4 linked regions of the Schizosaccharomyces pombe genome follow. The protein of the gene in region 2 binds, or shares a complex with, the protein of the main gene of each other region. Each region holds a gene or a part of one and is shown on either strand. Other genes may lie near its edges.

Region 1 (5,925 bases), 3.0 Mb from region 2:
ACAGTAGCTGTACTTGGCAAATAATGAAGGGTTAACTTGCCGAGCATACCCTCGTGAAATTCGGCCTTTTCCAAGAGTAAAAATCCTCATAACGATATTTTCAGTTCAATAACATTGGTAAACGTTCATTAATTAGATCTTTACAAGACCGATATACCCAATTCACTGAGAATCAGTTTTCGCAGGTCTTGGTGTTTTGTACATTCCTTCGGGACCCGACAAATTTAAATTCGGGCACACGGCGTGCAATTTCCGTACACTATTATTAATAGAGAATTATTTAATCTGAAACCAAAAGTTTCAAAAAAATGTTATAAAATAAGGAAATAAAAATTCAAATATATAATTATTGTTGGTTCCAACATTCTGCCGATACTAGCCGTATCTCAACAATATTTCCCAACGGACAACACTAATTAGCAAACTGCGGCAAGCTGCAGCAAAAAGGTCGGAATTATAATTCGTTAAAGATATGTAAATACCAATGCTATCGAAAGTATATTTATATTCAGAATTTAATTTTATAGAAAGAAGTTAGTTATTTATGGCTACCCATCGCCTCAATGAAACTAAAGATGATTTAATTACTAAAACTCTGCCAAGCATATTGCTTTTTTTCTGGATTTTTCTAAATGAGAAGGTTAAGCTGCGTAAATAATTCTTTGTTGCCTTTATAAATCGATATTCATGGCCGATGACATTTCAGCTGTAACTTGAACAGCGACATCCTTCAACTGTAAGTGATATTCTGCTACAATTGCATCTAGAGTAAGTAATTTTTGTGGAAGAAAGTTAGGGTCAGGTTCCTTGTCCACGGACATGTCTGTCACAAGAATCCATGTATCTTCTTTCGGAAGCAACTCCAGAGTGTTCAAAACAATCAAATAATGTTCTATTATAAAAGTTCTCTCCTTTTTTCCAATTAATTCTGTAGTAGAGATATACCGGCTCAGTTTTTCATAAATAATTGCTGCTGCGTCTCGATAGTTTTGATGTTTATACCGCCAACTAAACAAAATATTATACCAGCATGGTTGTGATTCAACGTTAATCATTTGAAAGGCCTTTCGCTCAAGCAAATTGTCGACGTCCTGTCTTAACGTTGGCATTGAATAATTTAGAAGCTGATTTATTTTACCTTGTTTCGTTAATTGATTTACAAAGTCTAGTAAACATGACTTTTTCAAAGGCGTAGTGGATAAAACCATCAATGCAACGTGAGCAGCGTCAAACTTTCCTGCTGCACAAGCGGTTTTTAAAGTCTCATGGGTAATTGCAATAGACAAATCTTCGTCGTCAGTCTCTTTCGAGGCATCTGCTAATAAAGAAAATTCTAATGCATCTATATATGCACTCTCCTCGAACAGCTTTTTTGATAGATGAAGGTAATAACACGATAATAGGTTCTGATGGTGGTATTTTTCAGCAATTTCTTGAAACTCCCGTAAAACTGCGAATTGAGAAGTATGTGAGTAAAGGACTAGAGAAGTAGTCTTGAAACATCGGACAGCCTTAACAGCTTCTTTCGATTTGAGATAAATAAGTGCTTTCAAGTAGACTGCAATTGGGTCAGAGTTAAGCCACCCTATTAATTGCATACATGCATTATATTGTTTGAATAGAAACAACTTTTCTACAAGTTCAGTGACCAGATCATTTTCCGTATCGTCCCTTATAAAGATTGCCGACAAAGACGATATCACGGTAGCATGTAAAGGTGAAATTTGGCTTTCTGAGAAACATTCGGAATAATTCAAAGCGGAAAAAAACTGAAGGGCTGTGTTAACACTTGCTAAAGCTTCCATAGTATTTAAATTACAGTTTGTTGAATCAACATCCTCCTCCTCAAATTTTTCTAGCAAAAGTGCAGAATTCTCTAAAAGAAAACTCACAAGACGCCAATCTTCTAGTAAAGAAAGAAATAATTTATCACATCCTGCAAATTTGGATTGTAACTCATAATCCTGCTGGCTAGTTATCAAAGAAAGTAGAAAAATAAATCCTTCAATAGAGACTTGAAACTTTTTCAAAATACTGTCCAAAACCCGTGCTACCGATGCACACAAAAATAAGGAAGGGGATTGAGCGGAATGGTTGTAAATATCGAAACTTCTTAAGCGTTGGATAAGAGAATCAATGTCGCGCATCGGGTTTTCAAGAGAAACTAGAGTATCAATTAAAGTACTGATATAATCTGGATCGACGTTGGGATATATGTGCTTGTCATAAAATACCCACAATGTATCAAATAAAGAATAAGATGGCAAATCCTGGACTAGTTCTCGTAATGAGTATCTAATTTCAGATAAAGTAGAAAATGACATACAGGAATGTAAACTCCTACCAAGATCCAGAATTTGATAACCTTCAATTAGAGAAGGATCATCTGTTTCAAGGGAACTAATTAATTTGGTCAACGGCTCTTCGTCAAAGGATTCAATGAGATAAGGATCCCTAATAAAAGCCACTTTATTTGCATAATTGATATATGTAACAGCGTTCGAAGGATCGAAGTTAATACTTAATATTTCATCTCCAAAATGATCCAGATATGCAACAAGTTTCGCAAACCTTTCCCATTCATTATATAATAGCCGCTTATATTCATAATAATCGTATCCAGTTAAATCTGAATTTGGCTCTATTTGGATCGTTGAAACTATAGACGACAAAACGGCATTTTTAAGTTCACTTATAGTAAGTGCGCCAAATTTATCCAGTTTATTTTTTGAAACTTGCGAGGAGCTGTTTTGAAAGCTTAAAAGAGCAACTTGTATAGACTCAATAGATGTATTATGTGCAAAAATGTGTTGTAGCCAAATCTCTGAGATATCCCCAGACGACATGTTTGTTGGAACGTCAAAAAAGGTTTTTTCTATGAGGGAAAAGCTATCCAAAGAGTGACTCCAAACGCATGAAAAACTCTCGTCCTGATCTAGACTAAGGTTGCATTTTTGGATAACGGTATTTAAGTTGCTTTTCCAAGCAATAATGAGCAAAAATTTAGATTGAGAGCCCTCTGACGATATCAGTTGAAAATCAGAAAGCATCCATGGTATGAACTCATCGTCTGGTAAAGAAGGAGGAATTATGCCCTTCTCGATGACAACATTTAATTTAAAAGAGTGGGCGTTTGCGTTAAGTTTGTAAATTGAAAAAGAGCCATGAGAATTATCTGGGTAATACAGAGCGATGAAAGAATTAGTGGTGTGATCTGAAGTTAAATAAGGAAAGGATTGTAGAGGAAGTATAGTCTGTGACAGTTCAATGGTTTCGACGCATTGATTAGTAGACAAATCCAAAACTTTTAACTTATAGTCAAGCGATAGCATCACAAGAACATTATAGGTAGACAAAAAAATCATTGAAATAATAGTATTAGGAGAGCGGTAATCTGCCTTAAATGCCTGAAGTGATAGATATTTTTTTAGGGAAAACAAATAACTAGAATCATCAATATGCTGTTCGTAGTGACTAGCGTCTTTTGGATTTAATATAATCTTTGTTAAACCTCCATTGAAAAAGCTTACACAAATTTCAGACGTGCTAATTGCGGCCATTAAATCGGGTTTTTGATTCAGAAAGGATATTGGTCGGTAACAAAGACACCAATCGTCGTCTAAGCGAGCGTCCGGTAATTGGAACCAAGTTTTAGATAATCTAATATAATACAAAACGCGAGCGTGAGTAATAGCATATATAATGGTCGTGTCGGAATGCTCACTGAACGAGAAAGCTACACCGTCCTTCATTACGTTGGATGGAAAATGAATTTTCACATTAAATTTTGATAAAGGCTCCTTCTTAGAATTTAATGAAACATCAAAGATAGTGAGTGTTCTGTTTTGGAATATACTCCATCGTAAAGTTTGTGAACCTTTGCTTTTATTTGAGGTATAAACACCTGCATCATATGCTACACATTCCTTTTTAAAAAGTTTTTCATTATCATCAGCTGTTTCTATAGCTTCAGAATCGTCTTCCGAGTCGTTTTCGAGAGCTGGAACCCACAACGCCAAAGTTCCTTCCAGACAAAAAGATTGTAAGTCTATCGGAACTACCGCATGCTTTAATTCATTCATATTTTGATTTTATTTTTTACTGGTAGCGGTAATACCAGTAGAAATACCAAACAAATAGCTAACAATAGGGGGCAGTTCTGGTTGAGTATCGTAGACAACGACCTACACGAGTTAGCGTAAGACAGGCCAGTCCTACAACGAATTTATGAGAAACGCGTAAATACGAGTATATTTGTAATTCTTTAGCTTTTTAGGGTAGAGGGAGATGGAATGTAAAACTGAATTTTCTTCTTGAAGATTAAGTTCCTTAATAAAATAGAATCATTTGATTGTGGATGAAGAAAGCTAAACAATTTGATAGTTTTTATTAATCGAGCAATTCCTTTGTATTCATAATAATAAAAAAGGAATCAAATATTCATTTAAAACTCAAGAGCTTAAATGGATTCTCTATTTTATTTGTGAAATTACATACAACAGTAAAAGATCTTCAAGATATCAGAAGCCTTTCTTAGATTATTGTTAGTTTTTTTTATTATTTTTTGTATACCTGTAACTTTTTAGCTGTTGTTTTAAGAGATTAAATCTATTTAAATTAACAGTACTCATCTTTAGGGTCTTAATTTACAGCCTTTCAATCTTTTTTAATAAAATAGTTTTCTAATTTTCTAGTTTTGTTTATTTTTAAATTTTGCAAATTCTTAGTAAATAAAACATGTAATATTTTCAACCATACGTTAAATTGTAAATTACATTTTAATAAATATTAATTACGTGCAAGGGTGAATTATTGTTCATTGGCATGCAATTTATAATTTATTTTTTTTATTGCAGATACAACCAATTCTAAGTCTAATAGCCAAGATCTCTTATACCTGATTCAATATTACAATTGCGGTGATATGTGCTTGTACGAACACCCGCAACTTTATAGTAATTAAGCGGTAGTACATACACTGGTATCACGATAAAGAATTAGCTAAAGTAGAAGATTGTAGCAATGGCATCAATTGTGATAAAGACATTTTCTGGATGTGATCCACCGGTCTATGCTAGAATTAAAGGATCGACAATAAATATCCAGAAGAAGAATTAACCAAATGGGTTGAAATTATCTCTAATAGCTAAAAATCTATTCATTTAAAACTGAAAGAGAATTAAAGGAGTAGGAGTACCAAAAGGTAAAAATAATCCAAAGATATTAATTTTGACTATAAATCATCACAAAATTTAGTAGCATACAACATAAGTAAAAAAGAACATTAAATAATTCTAGATATATTTGATAAATTCCCCTTATTCTCTACTAGCTATGGGTGTGAGAGTTTTGTAAGTTCGAATTCAATCTATCCGATATAAATCTCTTAGAGATTGGGTGTTAACTAATAGGTAAATCCCTGAATTTGACTTTAGTCTATGACACACTCGTCAAGTTATGACTATTTCATTTATGTACTTAACTTCTCTATCTCATAAACATAAGCACCAATTTGGAATATACTGAATTAACGAAACAGAGCGTAGGCAATTTGACTTCTATTACGTTACTGTATGTTTACAAGTTAGAAAGTCCTAACTTGTGGCTATAATACTTTGCAGTGATGCTTATGAAATCGCGAGTAAACTTATTGTTTAAAGGACCATTTTTCTTTCGAGAACGTTGTTTTCAAACACTCTTAAATCCTGTGATCGCAATTCGACAGCTATCGCATGGATCGCTTAGAAATTCTCGATCATGTAGAATTGATGCGAAATCGAATACATTAACGAAAGAAATATTTCCCAAAATAAATAATGAATTCAAAATCAAAAATCGATTTTATAGCTCAAAGCTTGCGAACGACCAATTCACGCTTCAAGAGCAATGTGACGAGAAGGGAATCCCTTTTATTTTATACGTGAA
Region 2 (6,086 bases):
TCAGAAGTTTGTTTGTCAAGTTCTTGAATGACTTCTTGAGGCTTTACCAATTCACCAGGAGCGCTACGAGTGAAAGTGAAAGGGAAGCGTTCCTTCCATGTTTGAATTTGAGATAACCAGTCAAATCGGGAAGGAATTTTAATATTTTTAGTAGCAGAATCTAAAAGCTTTAGAGATTCGTATACATCGCCCTCTATTGCTTCAGTAGGTTGTACGACCTTACCGATATTTTTGGGTGAAATATCAAAGTGAATAATACCGCCACGCTCTTCGGCAGCAGCAAGACGTGCTTGAGGAGCAAACAAACTTACGTTACCGGTGACACGGTCGTCAAAGCGAACACCAAGAGCAAGGATAAGATCGGCTTCCTGCATGGCCATATTAGCGTATCCACTACCATGCATACCGAGCATATGCAAACTAAGGTCAGAACGTTCATCTACAGCACCAAGTCCAAGCAAAGAAGTAGTAACAGGAATTTGCAGCCTTTCGCTAAACTTGCGTAACAAAGTGGGGCATTCGGGATTAGCTAAAACACCATGCCCACAGAAAATCACAGGCTTCTTGGCTAATTTTAGTAAATTGGCAACACGATCGATCTTGGCAGTAACGTTCTTGGAGCCCTCTTCTAAGACTTCCTTCATTCTGCGATTCATTGATGGTACAGAAGACAGTATAGGAATGGGCTCCTTCAAAACGCTAGCAGTGACATCTTTGGGAAGGTCAACCAATACAGGGCCAGGGCGTCCAGAAGTAGCTATCTCAAAAGCTTCGTCTATACGACGGGGAAGATCAGCAACATCTTTGACCATTACATTCCATTTAGTACATGAACGAGAAATACCAACCATGTCAGCTTCTTGAAATGCATCACTACCAATTGCGCTGGTTGCTACTTGACCAGAGAATACAACTAGGGGAGTACCGTCGGCCAATGCATCAGCAATCGGGGTAATCACATTCGTAGCACCGGGTCCAGAAGTAACCAATACAACGCCGGGTTTTTTAGTAACGCGGGAATAAGCTTGGGCTGCATGTCCAGCAGCTTGCTCGTGTCTTGGCAAGATAAATTCAAAATGAGGAGATCTATAAATTGCATCGAAGACAGGCAAGATAGCACCACCTGGATAACCAAATACATGCTTAACATTATGCTTGAGCATCATATCATGGAAAATTTCACCCCCAGTCTTTCCAACAAACGAGCTGTCATATTTTATAGGACTAGCCGTAGTCACTGTAGAGGTGCTTTTGGTCGAATTTGCCCGAACGACACCGAATGCATTTTTTAATTTTTTAATTCTCAAATTATTACTAAAGCCGGTGCCATACCTCCGCACAGCTGAGCAACTATTTAAATTTAAAAATCTCTTTTGAAGGGCAATTTCTCGTCCATAAGACGAGAAAGCCGCCCTCGTATGCAATCTTCTAAGGGGAGCCAGCACAGTCATTATAAATAACTTTTAACCCTCAATTCCTTTCTAGAAAGAGCTATCTTTCAAGTTGCAAAAGATCGGTATGCTGAGCGGTATGAGAAGTGAGCAGGTTCATTTTTGCCTAAAAACATTGGTTGTTCACCACCACAAAAAAGATCAGATTTGTTAACGATAAGTACTGTACCCCGGAGATTAAATATACCGATGCATAATACTATACCCTTTGAAGTCGTGTTATTATTCTTTAAAAAGTTCAGATGATGTAGGAATACAATTTATCTATTTATCCATGTCTCCTTAATTTTTTAAACATTAGTAAATGCTGGAAAACGTCAAATAAATTTTTCTTGATCCTAAATTATAAGTTTCCTATCGATTCAGCTTAGAAAATCGTCAGAATTATCTTTGAGCATAATCTGTTTAACACGTAAGAGATCTTAGATACTTTCGCTTTTTTAAACATTAGTGAGCCTCTTATTAGAGGAATTGCAATGTTTATTGTACATCGACGGTTTTTTCAAAATGAAAAAGCTTTTACGCCTGCAGGAAAACATGAAAAAGTTGCCGACGGAAACAAACATGAGACATTAGCTACTTCAGAATACCCGAAAGTCTGTGCATCAAATGACTTGTACAAAATACTCCAAATATCTGCTCCTAAGGTTGGCAATTTTACAATCCATGATGCGCCAGTTGTTGGACTAATTGACTCTATTTTGGAATATTATTTGTATATTAGTGTCAAAGTTCGAAAGGCATGGATTGCTGGTTATGGAAGTCAGCCCCAAAACTTAATATGCTTTGATTGGGAACGTTTTACGGGTATTCTAGATCAGCAGAGTCTAAATAGCCCACCGTTAGCTGGATTTGTTAAGCCAGATCCAACATCAGCAGAGCCTGGCTTTTTACTTTTGTGGCCTGCTTCGGGCGACCTTTTCTACTGGGAAAGAACTTCTTTGATGAACGTTGAGGTTTCTGCTCCCGAATTTCCTGGTTTTCTTCATTACAGGATTCAACTAAAACGATATGAAAGCTGTAAAAATTTGGTTAGTGCTGAGCCTGCTGGCTTTTTCCTTACTCTGAGTTCAGGTCGGTTGCTTCATCTGAATTTAAAAGATAGCGATGGCAATTCCTCTATTCAGGTTCGAATCCTATTTCCTGGATTGCACATCCCCAACTGCTTGCTGTCGTTATACAACAGTATCTTTGCATTTACTTCAGGAAGAGTTATTCCAATACGTTGTGGTTCAATAAAAGGACCTGGTGAGAGATTAGTTTATTCTATGCATTCTGGAAGCACATTGCGAATTTGGGAAATATTCGGGACTGGTGATCACCACTTGTTACGTGGTTTTGACATTTATGATATAATTTTAGATAGTATTCAGGAATCCTTTTCCTACGTAAATCGATTTCTAATCCTTGATTTTTCTGTTTCAACCTCGGATCCTTATACGTTAGCTTGTTTGGTTTCCTGGCGTGATAATGCTTCATTATTCAATTATGCTGCAATCATTATTTCTTTCAACCATCAGATGATACCTCATGTTTCACAATTCTGCCATGTACGCTCATATCTTTCTGCAATTCTTCCATCAGTGTGTCGAATATTTTTACCAAGTCCAGGTACAGTTGTTTTTTGCGTCTTCGATGTCACTTTTGCTATGTTTCATAAAGTGCGAGGGAAAGAAGGCACTTTTTATGTCGAAGAAAACCTGGTTGTGAACAACCTAACTTCCAAATCTCGGGTTTTGGATTTTGGCATGGAAGATGCGATATATGAAAAATCTACGCACACCTTACTAAAAACTCCAGCATTGATCTTGTTAACAGAAGGGCATGGTATAATCCGAATTGAATCTTCTGCTAGCTACCTGAAAACCAGCTTTAGTGCAACCACCTATTTACGAAGTCGTCTCTCCCAGTTTGCATCGCAAAGCCCTTTGTTCCGTGTAAGTTGTTAATTCTTTCGTATCTAACATATAGGAACAATTTTTGTTAAATTTTGACTTTACATACAACCTCTCTGAAAGCGAAGTCTATAATACAGTCTTTAATCTTTGTGATGAACTTTATACGAGTAAGATAATTTTTTCATGATATATTACTAATTGCAATCAGCGCCATGTAAAAAAAATATGTCTGTATTAGAAACACTACATTCTCAGCAACGTGACTTGATGGAAATAGTTCTTGTTGCCTTCAAATACCTACATTTATCTCCTTCTAATAGACTTCAATTATGGCTAAAAGTTGCCTATTGCAGTGCTTTGGCAGACCTATATGAATTATTGATGTGTAATGAAAAAATGTCTAACTTGCTTCGACGAGTATTGAAAATAATGTCTTCAAATGATAATATTGATGAACTTTTTTTGAAAAAGTGCCTGAATATAAATTTGTTATTACAGCATTTAAGCTCGGAATATTCTCAAATATCTGGCCAAGATGCTAGCAACGCACAAAAAAGAATTGAAGTAATAGTAAATGTTAATAACGTTTATGGGGTATGTTTCTTATAAAATAACGAGGTTTACTAATATTAGACTATCTTTGGAAATGAGCTTGCTTATAGGCAAGAAAAAATATCAAAATTTACTGATCCATCCTCTGTGATTAGAAGCGACCTTTGGACAGTTGAAGTTGATCACTTAGATTTACTACGAAAACAGATCGAAGATTCGATATCATTGCATCGCGATGTACGTGACTCGAAAGATGCACACATATTAAAAGTCAGTAACAAGCTTCGGAAGCAGATTTTGCATCTGGTGGAACAAAATTGCCTTTTGATCTTTGATTTGCACAATGGAACAGATGATACCATAGTAAAATCGCATAATTTTCAAAAATTTGAAGAAGAATTTGGCAATTCACGAAAAGAATGGTTACAATATTTAGGTAAGCTGTTTCTCACTTTCTTGTTTCCGCTAACAAAGAAGCTTCTGTCGGATATTTGGAAAAGGCAATCGACTTGGCGGAAAAAGTTAAAGACTTTCAGACAATGGTAATTTTGCTGGATTGTCTAGATCCAAAGGATCCTACCATTAAGCTTCAAAAGCAAAAAGCATGCTTAAATAAATACAAAGAAGAATTCGCAGATGTAATTTTTTTTTATTTGGTTGATACAGAGCAGTATGCGTCTTTGCTTCATGATTTCTTGGAGTATCAATCACTTTTAATATCTTTTTTTGAAGCCAATGATTTATTGAATCTTTTGTGGATATTTGAAGCTCAAAATGGAAATTATGGACGAGCCTCCGAAATTCTTTTCCGTGATTGTGAACCAGAAGAAAACAGGATTATCGGTAAAATTTCGCAGTTAGCTCTAGCAAAGCTCTACTCATGGACTAATAGAATTGAAGGTGAAAATATCATATTGTCAAATGAGACTGAGGTGATTGAAAATCATTTAGCCATTTTGCTTATTCAAGAGCAATATGCTGAAATGCTTTCATCACTTGTGGATATTACAGAAGACGAGGGAGAAGCTGTCGAAGCAATAGTAACTTCCAATTGTGTAAATCTATCAGAAAACTCTATCAGAGCCTGGCTCGTGTCTAGTGCTGTTGAGCGATTAATTCAAAACGAATACACTACGCTTTGTGAGATGGTAGATTTCTTTTCTTCTTTTTCATTACGGGAATGTTCATTCAAAGAAGTTGATTTGGCCTTAGAGTTATTAGAAAGAGCTACAATCACTAAGGACGTGTATTTTTACTTAAAAGATCTCGTATATCGCCGTTTTCTATTACAGGTGAACTGGGCAGAAATCATCGATGCGCATGAAGATTTAGAATCTTCATTTTTTCCAATGGTAAAGGAAATTATGTTAGAATCAGACTTTTTAATATGGTTACAACATATGGAACACAATATTCACGACGAAAGTAAACATTACTTGAAATCGGAAAAAAATTTTTTGCAAAGTGTATATTCTTCACTTTCTGAGTCGCAAGTGGAAGATTATCAAATGGAGCTTTTTCGTGAAAAGCAAATTTTCTCAGTACTATGTAAAGATAGAGAGTTATACATTCTGATTCCGAAACTTCTGGACGTAGCAACAAAACAATGAAATGAAATTTTGCTATATATTACTTTACATTTCCTCAGTAATCGATAAACACCTGTTTAAACCTAGTACTACTTATGTTTGTATAATCTATCGTATAGCCTCAGCTCCGACAACTCCGTTTTTACGATGGTAGATGCTAGATAATCACTGGTTAGAATATTTACGGCTTAAAATAATTAAATTTTTTTATTATAGATTCTTGATTTATTATGATGATTGCGCCTTCGGGGCTTTTTCCCTGTCCTGGATAGCCTCACCCTTACGTTGGAAATTAAGCTAAGGCCTAGTGTGTTGCATCCAAGTACACCTTACAACTAACGTCCACTAAAACACTCAAACCACATAATCATTTGTTAGTCGAAAGAAAGCCTGTAACTTCTATTAAATTATAGTAATTGGTTTTCTAAATTTTGTTGTTTTTGGTCGGCTACTGAATCGCAATTGGACTTCAATCTCTGTGGTGAATGCAGTGAAAACAAACTGAGATTTGTGTGGCATTTGTTAGTGAGGCTACAAATTGACTACATAAAAACTGCATAGTCCTTGCAATAAAAAAAATTTTATCTGTTCGGTCA
Region 3 (5,268 bases), 530 kb from region 2:
AAAAACCTGAGCTGGTTTACTAGTTATAGGCGCGGAGACGATTACTTCCTTTTCGTTTGTATCTATCTCCTGTCTCTTTAAGCTTTCAAAAGCATCAGAAAGAAAATGTTGGGTTTTCTTTTTATTCTTAGATTTTATAGATTGTTTTGGGATGGATTCATCTTCGCTTTTGGGCAACCTTGGTAATGAAGTAGATTCATTTTCTTTCCCTGCTGTATTTACACCGAAATTTTGTAAAAAAGAGTTATTCGCTTTTTTAACCCCACTTTCCTTATTTTTAGACGCTTTTTCCATCAAGCTCCCTCAAGCAAATTGCACTGAACGTGAACATTCAGTGGTAGTAGAAATAGCTTGTATACGATGGGTTCTTACTAAGTGAAGATTGGTGTCAAGAACTCAAATATTTCTATTTGCTTACTTTAATGTTTTTTTGAGTATAAAAGTAAACCCTACACAATATATCCACTAACACAGTTTTCGAGTCGAAATTTGTAAAGACTGCTCAAATCGACTATAGGATTTAAGAACTTGCGCAATGGTCCTAATTAACCGAACTTTCAAACAATTTTATAAGAATGTTTGCAACAAAGTGTCTGCAATTCTGGATTTAGTTCATAGTCTAACTTTTTGGAAAAAAAAATTTATATTAGAAATAGTCAAAAGTTATGGAAGTTTTTCAGCTTAGTTTTAAAATCAACGTATTAAGATAAACTGGTTATCAATGCGAAGATGATACCACATTTGCAGCATCACTATTAGTTTTCGAATTGAATCTCTTATACATTGACACTTATAAAGAAAAAAGCCCATTAGGGGTTGAAAGGCTACATTCTCCGGCCTTTCCTAAATAAGAAACATATTCAACCAGTCTGCCACTTTTAATAAGACAATGGTAAAGTTTTAAATCTTCACTGGCAACTTCGTTAGCCAGAGCAAAACAGCTATCATAGTCCTCAAGGCTAAAATAAACATTATGCAAACCGAGAATTAGTTCAGGCACATACAAATTCCGAATAGTCATAAGAGTTTTATAAAGCAAAGGATCATCATCTGGTTTCAGCTCCAATGTAGACGGGTGAAGCCAGTTAGCTTGAAGTAAGTCTGTGAAGGACTTTACACATTTACGAGAGGCAAAATTCAATTTTTTTTTCCAAACTTTATAAGAAGTGCTAGCTTTCGTAACTGCAGAATCTTCAAATACTTCTTGTTTAGAAAGCTCTTCCCATTCTTGATAAAATTTAAGTGCTCTGCAGAGAGCTCGATAGTTCATCAGTTCATACGCATCTCTAAACTTAGAATCGTTTTCGGGTTCACCATCGCTAGAGCTTAGCGTATTCAAAGCATCAGAGGGAATATGTGTATAAAGATCGTATGCACTATTTAGCTCGCCAATGCTTAAAAAGAAACGATATACAAGGTTTGCAAATCGGAGCAGCTCATCTGTCTGTGAAGTGATTAATAACCATTCAAGGGTGCAGATGAGCTTTTTATAAGATGGTTCAACTGGCTCCTCAATAGATTTTAAATATACTGTGTGAACTTCTTCGGGAGAAACAGAGACAACTTCATCATACACATATTCAACAGCTAGTAACGCCGCATGATTAATATCTAATGAATATTTTTTTGCTAATTGAAGTTGTTCTGATCTTGCACTTTCTTCATCAACAAGAATAAGGAATCGAGAATAAGCCTCGTACTGCACTTGATTTGATAGGTACTGAATATACAATGGAACCAAGTTAACTTTTTTAGCACTAGCCAATAACTCAATATACGCTTGGATAATAGAGTCAGAAGTATATTCATCCACAGCAAGACCTGAAATCTTCAAAAATAAAATTATGTGTGTCAGTATTCGAAGAAGAGGAGGTGTAACCAAATCCCCAGACTCAGGGGCATTTCCAGTCCGAATTGCTTCCAACTGTATGTGAGCAGAGCTCAAAATTTCCGAAATTTTATTACAAATGATATGAGTTTGAAGTTTAATTAGGGGATGTGATGCTTCTTCTTGGATTGAAGCAATAGAGCTGTTACTCAGCGAATTAAAAATCAATTCGGGAGTTAAGCCTAAACCACTATCCACTGGAGGCAATTGTGTTTCTGTTTGAGGAGCCTTAGAAGAAAGATAAACATCCAAATTGTACTGAGTCATACTATTATAATAAGCCCACATCGCATCCTCCCAAGTTGTGCACACATCAAGGACGGAGTTCAAGTCTCCACATAAAGCGCCATAAAGAGCGCGTTCATAAGAGTCTATCCGTTTATTTTTTGTAAGTGCTAAACATGATCTGCGCAAGAGTTCCTTTCTTTTATTACCGGAAGTCTCGGATTGCAAAACATCGTCGATGAGGTTATCTCTATACTCCAAAATTCCTTGAAGTGAAGCAGAACGCCAATGATTACCAGTTCTCCTACACAGCTCTAATAGTTCTTCAAAGCTTCCCGAACGAAATAAGCAGAATGCAGTATGAAAAAACTGGCGTTCAAAGTTATCATCTCGTTCGTCTAAACGTTTGTCGTCTCGTATATCTGCATCAGGATCGAGATTGGAAACAATCGTACCTGAGATGTTGGAAGAAAACCTAGAACCACCTCGGTTTTTCATTTTTATATCCTCTCTTGTATAAAACCATCGGTTTCCTCGAATTTCAATTGAAGGAGGATCGGAGGAATTATCACGAGCCCAATTGAATACGATCTATAGAATATTAACAAACATATAATAAAAAAAATACGTACATTATTCTCGAATGCCTCGGGATTTTGAGAGTAATATTCCTCTTCTAAAACGGCACGAGACGAAAAGGCATGCGACTGAATATGCCCTTGTTGTTCAGATAATCGAAACCTAGTAAAAGTTGTTAAAAACCAAGTTAAACGAATGGCAGCGAAACGAACATACGAGTAAAGACGTTGTATTAGGTCCCATGTACGAGATTCTAAATCCCATAACTCTATCCATTCTTCATCATCTTCTTTCAAACATTTTTCAAATCTATTTATGTTAATACAAGTGTTCATTCAAGTCAAAGTACAGAACGGTAACCATACTTTTCCTGACACAACTCATAGTATGCATATAGCAGCCCATCCTTTGAGAATAAATTGTCTTTCTTTAAAGAAGTGATTATATTAAACTTTTCGTATTCGTCTCCAAGTTCAACGCTTACGGCGGTTTCTGTACCATAGTTAGATATATACTTTACTTGTACGTGATAAGCTTTATACCATTTGGGCCTATGCAAACGACATTTTGATTCATCTAAATGGTTAAAATAATGTTAAATTTATTTAATAACAAACCTCGGCCTCTTCTTCGTCCATTTCAATTAGTTCTTGAATACTAGAACTCTTCGTATGTTAGTACTTCTGTGTTCCAAGCAGTAGAAATTGACAATAAGGGTTAAAATCTTATTATTAACTTACTCCATTTTTTTTGTGTCCAAGGACATTCAGAGTAGCATTATTCAATGCATTCTGATGCATGGTTTTGAAATCCAACCTCGTATGGGTTAAGATCGTACTATAGCAGCAACAAGCCATCCAAGCAATGTAATTTCAACAGACCAATTCTAATGCTATATTTCAGTTATATGCATACTATTTTCTTTTTTTTACATATTTATATTCATTTGTTTATCTACTACTTCTTTATTTCGAGAAAAGACATAAAATTTATTAAGTCCATGAATTTTCTTGTCAACTCTGCACACTAGTAGAATGGAACTAACTGTTTCCACGATCAAATGTCGAGCCCAATCAATTACTTTTCTCTCATTTACCATGTAGCTTAGATAATTTTATTTACTATTACATTTTTACACTTTACTAGCCTAAATGAATAATAAACGATGTGTATTGAATAAATTTAATATATCTGTAGAATAACACTAATTGATGTTTACGCTAGTATTGAACAATTCATAAATACTCCGATTGATTTACAAATTTATATACAAGAAGACTATCCTTCTGTAATGTTATCAATAAAAGAATTGAAAAGGAAAAGTAACACGAATCAGAGAAACCAACAAAGATAAAAGGGATTAACCCTCGAAAGGTCTATATGTAATAATTATGGACACCTAATATCATAAATGTCTAAAGACAGACATAGTTAGGTATTTTTTGAGAATTAAATTTAAGGCAAAGCAGGAACGCTCCAAGGGTTGTTAGGTTCCTTGCCGTATTGGATATCCAAAATCCATTTGCTGATTTCAGAAGTGATGGGACCAGCTTCCTGACCCTCAGGCATGGGAATTTCATACTCAGTACCCTTGTAGTTAATAGCCTTGACGGGGGAAACAAGGGCAGCAGTACCAGCTCCAAAGACTTCCAAAAGGCGACCTTCCTTAGAAGCTTGAGCAACCTCTTTCATGGAATACTTGCCCTCAGTAATCTTCCAGCCTTTAGGTGCGAGACGTTCACGGCAAATTTCCAAAATAGAATCACGAGTGACACCAGGTAAGATCATACCGTCAAGAGGGGCAGTAATGATTTCTTTTTCGCCATTCTTGTTAATCCAAACAGTAAAGCAGTTCATAGTACCAACCTCAGTAATGTAGTCCTCGTCTCCATAAAGCCAGAGAATCTGAGCATACCCCTTCTTGGCAGCCTCTTTTTGAGGCAAAACACTAGGAGCATAGTTACCACCAAGCTTGTAGTGACCAGTACCGCCAGGCCAAGCACGAACGGATTCTTCGGAGCAACAAAGCTTAACGGCCTTGAAACCAGAGCTGTAGTAGGGGCCAACGGGAGAGGCAATAACATAAAGCATAGCGTTGTCACAATGGTGGACACCTAAGGCTTCATCAGTACCAATGAAAGTAGGACGAATGTACAAAGAGTAACCACGCTGATCAGGGACCCAACGGTTTTCGTGAGCGACGAACTTTCTGATAATTTCAGCAAGCTCAGCAGGGTCGAAGGAAGGAAGAGATATACGAGTACCAGTTGAAAGCATACGCTCAGCATTCTTGATGGGACGGAAAAGACGTGGGACACCCTTTTCGTCACGGAAAGCTTTCATGCCTTCAAAGCACTCAAAACCATAATGGAAAACGGAGGAAGCAGGGTGAAAGCAAAGTTTACCAAATGGAACGATCTCAGGAGTACTCCAACCCTTTTCTCTGTTCCATTTCATAATAAGCATATGATCAGTAAAATTCTCACCAAACTTCAAACTCTTCCATTCGGGCAAAGGTTTAAGCTCCTTAACATTAGTAACTTTTATATGGGAGCTATCCATGGGCTTTGGGCCAT
Region 4 (3,807 bases), on a different chromosome or scaffold from region 2:
GAGCCTGCCTTTTCAACGCGTTCAACACCGCATCTCAACTTTGGATGCTCAACCTACTGGTACTACTGGATCCGTAATCGTTATGGTTACAGGTGAGCTTTTGGTAAGTTATAAGATTGATGTTACTTATTCTATTCATTTTTTTTTTTTTTGCTTTGCTCTTTTTTTAACCTTTTTGTAGTTGGATGAAGAGCAAATGGCCCAGCGCTATAGCCAAGTTTTTCACCTTGTTAACAATAATGGTAACTACTATGTCTTAAATGACCTGTTTCGTTTGAACTATGGTTGAAGAATATCATAGTGAAAATATTTAATACAAGTATCTTGATTATCTGCAATTTCATTTTCTTTTTTTTTATGCTTTTGTAGCGATTACCGGATTTTCAAACTACAACCTGTAGCAGATATAGCTTTTTGAACCCATCGCTTGTTTAGTTCGTTAAAACAAATTTTCGAATTGAACTCTACCTAAAAGTTTACATTAAGACTTAGTCTAATTTCGAAGTTTTACGCTAAATGAAAATTTAATCTCAAAGCGAATGTTAGTTCACTTGTCTAAAATTATAAATTAAAACCAAAAATTTATAAAGTAATATCTCCTTTTTTACAATTTGGTTATGATCTAGCTGGTAAATATGAAATAATTTAAGAAAGGAAACCAAGCAAGGTCGGCCATTCAATGTATCTGTTACATTAAAATTGAACTAAGTAAATCACAATTTTTCAGGTTTTCTGTCACAAGTTAGTATCATATATTCATGAGGCCGAAAGCATCTCTGAACTTACTTTTCTAAAGAAACGACAGATATGCATTTAAATAAATTTGCATAGGACGCTTTCCATAAACGAACGCACCCATCATCGCCCGAGCTGCTCAAAATAGTTCCTGTCACATTAAAACGGCATCTCCACACTTGACATTTATGGTTATCATATTCACCAATGAGTTCCACCTTCAAAGAATTTAGATTGAAATTTGAGTCTTCTGTCATTGAATTTCCAGCATCTTCTTCCTCTTGAAATACTTCTTCGCAAAGGGTTTCAACTTTAAAAATACGAACATTCCCATCTTTGCATGCAGTAGCTATCAGGTAATAACTACTGCCCATACTCGGAGCCCAGCAAATATCACGAATAAGATCTGTATGTCCGGGTAACTCAGCAACTTTTTTCCATTTTCCATGAGAGTTCTGCTTGTAAATGTAAGCATCATTCATGCATCCAACAGCAATGTACTGTTCTCGCCAACGTGATGGGCACCAATTTACACAAAACGCTGGTTGCTCGTTGCGCGAAGGAGGGGACGGCATTAAAGCAATTTCATTCATTAAAGTCCAATACGTTAAATTACCGGGTTCCATGGCCTCATAAATCCGTAAAGTAGCATCCGCCGAAACTGCTGCTAATTTGCAACCATGTTGAAAAGGGCAAAATGATATGTCTAATACGGCGCTACGAGCATCCATTAATTTTGCAACTTCAACCCATGTCTTGGATTCAAAGTTCTTTTTTTGTTCCTCATAGATCCGAACCCCTCTGTCTAAACTGCAGACAGCTAGCACTTGACCAAATGAAGGATGAGCCCAAGCAACCCTCATTAGACTAGCATCTCCTGCCCTCCATTCAGAAGTGATTGCCCATGTTTCAGTATCATCATTAAAATCGTAAACCTTGACTCGTTGATCAGCTGAACATGATACCATTCGACGGCCATAAAAGTCTTGACAATTAGCTACAAAATCTAAAATAATATTTCCTTACCGTATGTAACATCATTCACTAAATCTTGGTGATTTGTTTGAATCGTAGTAGCCGAAATATCATCCATGTTGGTAGAGACGAGGTGAGCTAGTAAAGAAGGGCCAAAAGATTTTATATGTAAATTATCGGTATCAGCGCAAAAAAAAAGAGGGTAAGTCTAGAAAAAATGAAAGAAGTAAATTTTTTGTAAAGAAGACTTTTCGCATGCTTAACTTTCGGTCCGACAAGTTAACTCATCGAAGGCGACAATCATAGTAAAGAATATACAAAACGACTAAAATAGTCAGCAAATATCTACTGCACATAATCTTCACTCAGTTCATTCTTAATAGATGGTAATAACAAATTTGTATACCACATTGACGTTATTTCACCTGAAGTGATTTGGTAAGCCAAAACGATAATAATCTAATATGTTCATTGACGTTTAAAAAATGAAATGAAAGTTTCAAGTACTATACAAATAGTCTTCCGGACTACTAAATTATTTAGTTGTTAGTGGTATGTATACCTCAGTCAATAGTTAGTTATTAATTACCTTCATTTACAAATATGAAATTATGTGCTTTTTTTAATGGTTTCAGTATAGTTAAAAGTATTATTGATATTTTGTTTAAGGTACAAAATCTTTTGATAAAATTATTGATTTAATTAATGCAAAACTGAAGTAGGTAATTTGAAAATATTAGTCCCCCATTAAAAAATATGCATATATAATGTTAATACTTTTTTTGTAAAATAAGAACTTCACAATAAAATGCTGAGGAGCCGTAATCAAAATTAGCAAAAAAATTCATAAAAACATTTTATTTGATTTTGCAAAGAGACAAACGATAGTAGTAACATTGATATCATTAAAGTGTTGGTTTTTTGAATTTATAAGCTTGTCTATTTATTAAATGCAGTCAGTGTTTAACAAAATAGTGACACTACCAGTCAATTCTTTTCAGTTTTGTATTTGCAGATTATCACAGATTTCAAAATGACTTTTGTGACCCATAATATGTTCTTGTCTCATGTGTGTTATTATACTACAATACTTCAGGACTTAATAGGCAAGTCATGTACAAGTAATAATGATTGTAATTGCACGTCAGTGCCACAAGTATAGTATATCTTTTAAATGGGAAATTTTTCAATTTTTTTTATTTTTTATACACTGAATGTCAATTGGCAATGCCATTTTGACTCTACGGAATTTTGATTATATTGAGTATTGTAAAACGACCCTTTTCTAAAAATAAAAAACAAAGCCTATCCCTTACTCGCTAATCTGAGTTAGTTCGATCAAGGCCAGAAATGGAACAAATCAGGCCGTTCTCGGATAACTACTTGGATCGTCTACGTACAGTTGAAGAGGATGATTATAATGACTGGGAGGGTTCATCTGATACAAAAACGTTATACTCAAGCGTATCAGACAGCAAAATAGGGCATAAAAAAAGTTTTCATAAGGATGGCAAAGGCTTATTTAAGACATTGCGAAATTTTTTGAGTTTGAAAACTAATAAGGTACCTAAAAACAGAAAGTTTTCATTACTAAAGGGTTCTAAATGTAACAATGTGGAAATTAAGGTGTTTATAAGGAATAATGATAAACAATCAAACGGTGCGTCAAAAATAGGATAATGACACTTTGTTTTCTTAAATTTTAACAGCTGTAGTTCATAATTTTAAAGGAAAAGATTCAATTCATGAAGCATGGAGCCAATATTTAATTTTTGATAGCATGGGCTTGAGTCCCCTTATACACATATCTGGAGAAGATAAATACAAAGTTCTTTGCTTATTTAGTATATGGAGAAGAAAACTTGGCAAATGCTCAATTTTTACTGTCCATGACCCCGATATCCAAAAGAAAATAAAAAGCATACTGTCATACTTATGGGAACTTAGTAATACAAATGACCCTCCTCATGTTATCGTGTGGCATACCGCAAAAGGCACTAATGTCATGACAATGGGACCTTTGGGACTAAAAGATGAAGATCTTTGGAATTATGCCAACGAAAGATCCAACCTTAATGGTACTACTTGACACCACTG

The links.
Region 1: nup131 (region 2) and nup120 share a complex: the UniProt entries of both Schizosaccharomyces pombe proteins name them as parts of the npc107-120 complex.
Region 3: nup131 (region 2) and nup107 share a complex: the UniProt entries of both Schizosaccharomyces pombe proteins name them as parts of the npc107-120 complex.
Region 4: nup131 (region 2) and seh1 share a complex: the UniProt entries of both Schizosaccharomyces pombe proteins name them as parts of the npc107-120 complex.

The regions. Positions count from the first base shown.
Region 1 is NC_003423.3:4,014,686-4,020,610, forward strand, and holds nup120 (nucleoporin, WD repeat Nup120), read right to left. Parts: upstream 4,166-5,925; 5' UTR 4,083-4,165; coding exon 672-4,082; 3' UTR 541-671; downstream 1-540. Other genes in the region: Sre1 cleavage-activating protein Scap Scp1, read right to left, coding at 1-90; Fe-sulfur protein Isa2, read left to right, coding at 5,624-5,925. UniProt on the Schizosaccharomyces pombe protein: Functions as a component of the nuclear pore complex (NPC).
Region 2 is NC_003423.3:972,474-978,559, reverse strand, and holds nup131 (nucleoporin, WD repeat Nup131), read left to right. Parts: upstream 1-1,713; 5' UTR 1,714-1,927; coding exon 1,928-3,388; intron 3,389-3,422; coding exon 3,423-3,516; intron 3,517-3,557; coding exon 3,558-3,943; exon of another isoform or gene 3,944-3,982; coding exon 3,983-4,337; exon of another isoform or gene 4,338-4,378; coding exon 4,379-5,511; 3' UTR 5,512-5,538; downstream 5,539-6,086. Other genes in the region: ilv1 (acetolactate synthase catalytic subunit), read right to left, coding at 1-1,451. UniProt on the Schizosaccharomyces pombe protein: Functions as a component of the nuclear pore complex (NPC).
Region 3 is NC_003423.3:438,484-443,751, forward strand, and holds nup107 (nucleoporin Nup107), read right to left. Parts: upstream 3,521-5,268; 5' UTR 3,493-3,520; coding exon 3,433-3,492; intron 3,358-3,432; coding exon 3,310-3,357; intron 3,269-3,309; coding exon 3,235-3,268; intron 3,185-3,234; coding exon 3,058-3,184; intron 3,002-3,057; coding exon 2,909-3,001; intron 2,855-2,908; coding exon 2,746-2,854; intron 2,705-2,745; coding exon 791-2,704; 3' UTR 516-790; downstream 1-515. Other genes in the region: rhp1602 (DNA translocase Rhp16b), read right to left, coding at 1-294; branched chain amino acid aminotransferase Eca39, read right to left, coding at 4,148-5,268. UniProt on the Schizosaccharomyces pombe protein: Functions as a component of the nuclear pore complex (NPC).
Region 4 is NC_003424.3:2,397,442-2,401,248, reverse strand, and holds seh1 (GATOR2-SEACAT complex WD repeat subunit Seh1), read right to left. Parts: upstream 1,841-3,807; 5' UTR 1,829-1,840; coding exon 1,762-1,828; exon of another isoform or gene 1,721-1,761; coding exon 787-1,720; intron 733-786; coding exon 714-732; 3' UTR 530-713; downstream 1-529. Other genes in the region: nuclear import protein Nxt2, read left to right, coding at 2-103, 182-289; glm1 (glomulin), read left to right, coding at 3,061-3,370, 3,426-3,799. UniProt on the Schizosaccharomyces pombe protein: Functions as a component of the nuclear pore complex (NPC).